2 linked regions of the Mus musculus genome follow. The main gene of each other region encodes a partner of the protein of the gene in region 2 in a complex. Links are inferred from orthologs where the notes say so. Each region holds a gene or a part of one and is shown on either strand. Other genes may lie near its edges. The genes, in order: Dkc1 and Nhp2.

Region 1 (2,528 bases), on a different chromosome or scaffold from region 2:
TTCTTCTTCTTTTCCTTCAACTGGGGAACTGTTGGGGTCTCATCACTTTCACTCTCACTATCCCGCTTCCTCTGTGTAAAAAAAATTCACATGAAGTTAGAAATGTAGGAAGTTACCAAGAAAGATTCCACGTATATTCAATGGTTTTGTGTCTATAAACTTGAATAGTGTCTGATTTTCTAAAGATTTGAAGACAGTATCTCACTAAATAAAAAATATAGTAAGCCATGGGGCATGATGAATGTGCCAAAGCAGCGTTGCGTATAAAAGACCCTGAGAAATTGTCTCAGTGAGCCAACTCCAAGACTTAAGGTGCTCTTTGACAACTTGCAAGTTCCACCCATATAGCTCATTACTAGTCACTCAAGACAGCAAACATACCATTTGGGGCTCTAATGACAGTGGCCCCCAGCCTTGGTTACTACCACATGCTTCACTCTTGTCCTTTAAACAGTGAGTTAGCATGGACTAGAAATATTTTTTTGGTTTCTGACAATTCTGTTCCTCCTGAATTTCATTGAGGCCTCTGCTTTCAATACACTTATGCTACCTATTTAACCCAGGGTAGAGTCAAAATATGTGTGACACATTCCACACAAGGTTATTCCACTCCACACTGTGTCACAGTGGAGGTAGGAACCAAGGTAATTGATTCTTAAGTCCATACTCCCCCTACCACAGACACAACACAAATGCTACTGAACCAAACAAACATCCTCAAGTAGGAGATAGTGTGTGTAGAGCACTGCATGGATAAGCCTGCCTTACTTGCTAGGACTTGTGGCTAGACTACCTTAAACACTGGTGTATCTCTTTAAGCACACTTCTTTCTTTCCTTTGTTGTTTGTTTTTGAGACAGTGTTTCTCCATCTGTCCTGGAACTCACTCCTGTAGACCAGGCTGCTTTACTTCTGTCTTGGAAGTACTGGGATTAAAGGCATTCGCCACCACCCCACCCAGTTTGAAGCAAGCACCTTTCAAACAGATCATGCCACTCACTTTTATGACATTTACTGCTTCAGCAGCTAACTGAGGGGCTTGTACTGCTTCGGTAACCAGTGTGTTCTTGCCAGAATCACTGAAAGACAAAGGTAATATGAGGTTAGATTCATAGAAGAGTTTTCCATGGTGGTCCTATTATATCTTATCATGCCCCTTGTTATTCAATGATACTGGGCAACCCTAAAACCCCCAATTAAAACACTGATGCTAGACAAAAGAACCAACAGTTGGTTTTACAGACTGATTATCTCCACAGTCCATGCCCTGACTACTAGTACTTACTGACCCAGGTTTCAAAGAGCCAAGCAAGGGAAAGAGTGAGCTGCATTAGGGCCTGTGGCAAAGCATTTAGCACTTATCCCAAATAAAACCGTCCATCTCCCCTTGGCTGTGCAGTTTCCTGTACTCAAGTGTACTACATTACCCCAGTCCCCCAAAGCCCATCCTTACCACCCAGGCCCACATCCAGAACTTTGAGTTGGTCTATTTCAACATCTACCCCATCTATGAACTGCTGCAGCACATAAAAGGGCTGGTCCTGCATATCTAAAGCTGCAGGATCTCCATGACATGGGGCACCAACAGAGAGGAGTCCCAGTGAGGAGCCAACATTGATAGTGTAGCAGAAGCCAGAGGCCTCAAACCAGTCCAATGATTCATTGCAAGTAAAGATGTAACACACTGTAACACACTACAGCTTCCAAAACTTTTTTCCTTATGGGGGTGGCAGTTGCCTTGGGCAGAGGATGGATATGAAGGCATGGGGAGATGAGTGCGCTTGGTGTGTATGATGTGAAATTCACAAAGAATAAAGTTAAAGAAATAAAATAAAGACAATGGAATAAACCAACAAACTCCATCCTTACCTATAGTCAATGTAATCCTGTTTCCATGTGGCAGGGGTATTGTCTGTGGGTTTGCCATGCTTGTCCAGAAGGCCCTGCTTGATCATCATCTTCTTCTGACTTGCCTGGAAGCATTCCAAACATTAGACTACTGTCAATACAGGAAGTAGCCATTATGATTATAGACTACAGCTTAGACCCAGTCTGCACAGACTATCACAAGCAAGGTTTCTTACATATTCTCAGCTTCACACCCCTTACAAAATGTCCTGAATCGTTTGTTCCCTCTTCTCTTATTGTCATCAATCTCTAACCTATTCTTCACAATAGCTGAAGTGGAAAAATCTTGCCCAGATCCATGATGAAGTTAAAACTTTCACTGTGGATACTCTAGGAACCAAGAGACCACTCCACATTTTTGACAGTCATAGTTCACAACCCCAGTGAGATTAAGTAATGCCCAAAGGTTTCTCTTAACTAGAGGGAGAATCTCTGAAGTCTAAGACAGGGCATGCCTCTGCTCACTGACAATAATCTAGAGCTTCAAATATGGCCAACAAAGACCTGCATTTGTTGGTACTTATTAATGCAAATACAACCCAGGAAGGGCTATAACCTAGTACCACTGACCTTTGGACCTAAACCCCACTTGCGAGGATAAGTGTCTCTCTCCATGATCAC
Region 2 (4,506 bases):
AGACGTAGGGCAAGTTCTGGTCCTCGCACAGAACTGGAAGATGGCAGTACACCTCAATCGGCAATGTATCTCCTGCCAAAACCATGATCCTGCAACAAGAGAAGGCACCATCAGTTCTCCTTTGCTCCGTCTCTTTCCCTTTCAGTTCTAAGAGCTATCTCCAGCCTGGCTGTGAGGGCAGAGTCCAAGAAAATGCCCCACCCCAACCAAGGACCCCCACACTAGCCTTCAACTTCTGAAAGGAGTACAAAGTCATGTTTGGCAAATGCATTCCTCTGGGGACATGGTCTCTACTTGACAGCATGTAAATGCCACCGAATGTGACTAGAGGTGAAGTGCTGGGACAGATGAGGTACAGGAGAAATACCACGAAATAGGAACTCGGCTCTCCTTAGAGTCAGTTATGTTCCAACCAGGAGATGACCCTTGAACAGAGACTTGAGTGCCATGATGATTCCAGAATGGCAGGTGTGGGGACAGAATAAGGCCAAGGGTGGTACTGAAGGGCTGGTTGCCTTCTGCAATAGATAACTAGTGTGTGTGTGTGTGGTGGGGGGGGGGTGTCAGAGAACAAAGCTGAGAGGACTGGCAGGGATCACACCTAAGTGTTTGAGTAACACACAGACTCTGTCCCAAGAGAAAGCTTGCCAGGGCCCTCAACCATGGCTGAGAGCTGTCAGTGTACCAGACCCAGAAGTCCTGAAGATCTGCCCGGTGTAAGGGTGGTAGACATCTGTTTGCATACTCCGTTCCCTTTGGCACAAGGCTGGTCCTTTCCACTTGTTCCTTTGCTGTCCTTCTTTGTGGTCCCTTTCTCCTTGCCTTCCTGACCTATCATGGTGCCAGGGGCCACCTGAAGCTACCAGCCCCCATCTGCCCTACCAAAACATCTGCCTGTAGAATAGCTAAGCAGAGCATGTCCAAGGCATTTTCCATGTCAACTCAGGACGCCTCAGAGGGTAAAGACACTCACTGCCAAGCCTGGCCACCTGAGTTCAATCCCAGGGGCCTGAATGGCAGAAGAGAATCAGCTCTCCAAGTTGTCCGCTGGTGTTCACATGGGTACCAGATGCACATGTGTCCATACACATGCAAGTAGGCACCCACACGTAATAAAAGGTATCTAAAAACCACACTTCAGATGTTTTCACACAAACCTGGCTTTCCTCCACTGTCTGTCTGCAGTCACACACTACAGCCCAAACTAGCATGCAAAGTCATTATATGTCACCGTCTCTCAAATCCCTCAGCTGTAGCTCCTGCCCATCACCTGCCTTGGGCCATAACAGCTTACTAAGTCTGACTTGCCTCTCCTAATTCTTCCCTCGATGTCACGCCTCAGCTTGCACTCTGTTCTGAGAACACTAAACCTACCTTAGAAAGCCCACGAGGGGGAAAAAGAAAACAACAACAACAACAACAACAAACAAAACCGGGCATGGTGGGGCACGCCTTTAATTCCAACACTCCGGAGGCAGAGGCAGGCGGATTTCTGAGTTTGAGGCCAGCCTGGTCTACAAAATGAGTTCCAGGACAGACAGGGCTACACAGAGAAATCCTGTCTCAAAAAAAAAAAAAAAAGAAAGCCCAGGAGGGCTGGAGAGCCGGCATACGGGGATGCATAGCCATTTCTGGGGGTGCATGGCCATTTCTAACTCCAGTCCAAGGAGACCTTACACCTTGCCTTCTGGTTGCCAAGGGCACCAGTGATGCACCAACATATACACGCAGGCAAAACAGTCATACACTTAAAAGGAGTAACCACTTACATTGTGTAAGTGCCACTACACTGCCCTGTCCAAGAGCCTACTCTTCTCAGGATTCCACCCCCTCACCCCAAATAAACCTTCATTCATTCATTCTCTTCCTTTGTTGTTTTGAGACAGGGTCTCTATACATAGTCATGGCTGAAAACTTAAGAGATCTGCCTCTGATGGGATTAAAGGCCTATCACTGGCTTATCATTTTCTCCTTTTGGGAGTTTTGTTTGTTTTGAGACCTGTCCATAGACCACGACGGCCTTGAACTAGCTATACTTCGGAAGCTAGCCCGCATTCTCCCCTGCCCTACTTGGGAAAATGTCTCTCTACATATAGCACGTTGCCTAGAGCCTGAAAAAGTTGTGCCGTTCTACAGAGTGAATGATCAGGACTCTAGTTTACACGGGCTGGATTCCTATTCTCTTCCCTGTCATTTACTGGGAGTTCCATTTACTGGTAGTGAAGGGAGTTGACTGCTAGACTGGTTGGTCAACTTCACCTTTATTGAGTAGGTGGAATTTCTTCTTAACCAGTTAATAAGCCAAACTTAGTGCCGTAGTACTTGTGTACCGTGCACAAGGCCCTAGGTTCAATCCCCGGCACTGGAATATAAAAATAAAAACCACACAAAACTTAAAAACCAGAGGAAGCCGGGTTCTTACCCTTTCTCGCCCTTGTTGACAAATTTCTGAACCTCCTTCACCCCGCGACGAATCTGCTTCTGCTTCACAGCTACAAAGAGAGAGAAGCGTGAGCCGACACCTCGCTCACGAGGCTCGACCCCGGGCCGCCCAAGTCACCGGTCCCGGACCGCGATCGCCACGCGCCCGCCTCACCCTTCTTGATGCACTTGTAGAGCTTGCGCGTCAGGCGGCGGGAAGCCAGGGGCTGCGCGATGGGGTTCAGATTGACCAGCAGCTCTTTGTACGTGCGCTCCTCGCTGCAGCCCTCCGCCTGCGCCTCGGACTCTTCGGGAGCGGCCTTTACTTTGGTCATCTTAGCAACTACAACTCCGTCCCGGCATAGAGGAACCACGCGGCCGCCGCCTCCGACATCACTTCCGGGTTTTCAAGTGGCTCTACCCTGTGACCAATTGGGAAACTAAATATTCTACACCGACCAATCTCTAAGTAGATCTCTAGGGGCGGGATTTTGGATATGGGGGCGGAGTTAAAGGTCAATCTAAGCACGGGATTTGGATTTTCACCGCGGGAATCCCAGGGAGGCCGAATTTAGAACCGGGTTTCCAGAGGGAAAGGGGCGGGGCCTGGGGCCGAGAGGTGGGGCCCAAAGGGAAAGAGGCGGAGCCCAAAGGGAAAGAGGCGGGGCCCGGAGAGATTGAAGAGCGGGTGGAAGGAAAATACACAACGGGATTGTGTCCCCTGAGCTCCTTGTGACCTGCCTTGTGACCTGCTGCTGCTGGTTAGGTAAAGCCTGGCGCACCTGAAAGTTTTTTCATATTTTCTTTTCCCCCTCCTAGATCCTGTTGCACAAACTATAAACCGCACACCTTTGATCCCAGCAGTGGGGAGGCAGGGGCAGGTGGATCAGGTCAGCCTGGTCTACATAGTGACTTCCGCTGGGCAGTAAGGTCAGCCTGGTCTACATAGTGACTTCCGCTGGGCAGTAGTGGTGCATACCTTTACTCTCAGCATTTGGGAGGCAGAGGCAGGAGGAACTCTGAATTCAAGGCTAGCCTGTTCTACAGATCGAGTTTCAGGACAGCCAGGATTACACAGAAACAGTCTCCAAAAAAAAAAAAAAAAAAAACCGCAAAGAAAAAAGAAAAAAAAGAGGCCGGGCAGTGGTGGCGCATGCCTTTAATCCCAGCACTTGGGAGGCAAAGGCAGGTGGATTTATGAGTTCAAAGCCAGCCTGGTCTACAGAGTGAGTTCCAGGACAGCCAGGGCTATACAGAGAAACCCTGTCTTGAATAAAAACCAAAAAACAAAAACCAACCCCCCCCAAACAAACAAAAAAACACAAACAAACAAACAAAAAAACCCACTCCAGTTCCAGGGGATCTGAAATGTCTAATCTGCAAGGGCCTCAGGAGTGCATGTGCTGCACAGATGTGCTTTCAGGCAACACACTCACACACAGGAAATAAATCAATCAAAAGTTCTTAAATGTTAAAAGCAAATCTGAAAAACCAGAAAGGTAGGAAGGAAGGTGACATGTGCTGGATGAAGAGTCCAGCTAGCTAATGAGAACCCTGGAGCAACAGGAAACGGGGACCTCAGCTCTGTGACGTAGAGGGACTGAAGCTGGTAAGGGTGAATATGAAGGAGGATCCTGAGTGCCAGATGCCAAAAATCAGGCCCACATTTAGATCTGTGTTTTGTGAAGGACACAGAACTTACCTATCCCTGATTGACAACTATGAGACCTGTGAGATAGTTGAGTATGATTTCCAGCCACTAAAAGCCATCACTTGGACAGCAGCAAGAGGACCAGGATATGTCAGATTGGGATACATTCTCTGAATTGCCAAGAAAGACAGAACCAGGGAAGGCTGTTGGAGGAAGGAGCACTGGGTAGCCTAGTAAAGATTGAAATCATCTCTCTTTTTTAGGTTGTAGGGAGGCCTGGATGTGTCTCAGTAAGCGATTACTAAATGGTGGGGAAATCAAGTATTTAAACAGCAAATGCTTAATATTTGCCAGCTGATTTGAATCTGAGGGAGACCTAGTTTAGAGAGACAGAGAGGGTGACTTCTGAGACTCACCTGTCTTCTGATGTTAGG

The links.
Region 1: Nhp2 (region 2) and Dkc1 share a complex: the UniProt entries of both Homo sapiens proteins name them as parts of the H/ACA small nucleolar ribonucleoprotein (H/ACA snoRNP) complex. The link is inferred for Mus musculus from reciprocal best matches to the Homo sapiens genes NHP2 and DKC1.

Annotation. Positions count from the first base shown.
Region 1 is NC_000086.7:75,105,722-75,108,249, reverse strand, and holds part of Dkc1 (H/ACA ribonucleoprotein complex subunit DKC1), read right to left. Parts: coding exon 2,478-2,528; intron 1,973-2,477; coding exon 1,869-1,972; coding exon of another isoform or gene 1,865-1,868; intron 1,079-1,864; coding exon 1,000-1,078; intron 72-999; coding exon 1-71.
Region 2 is NC_000077.6:51,618,068-51,622,573, reverse strand, and holds the start of Nhp2 (H/ACA ribonucleoprotein complex subunit 2), read right to left. Parts: upstream 2,802-4,506; 5' UTR 2,757-2,801; coding exon 2,597-2,756; exon of another isoform or gene 2,493-2,596; coding exon 2,423-2,492; intron 90-2,422; coding exon 1-89. UniProt on the Homo sapiens protein: Required for ribosome biogenesis and telomere maintenance. Part of the H/ACA small nucleolar ribonucleoprotein (H/ACA snoRNP) complex, which catalyzes pseudouridylation of rRNA.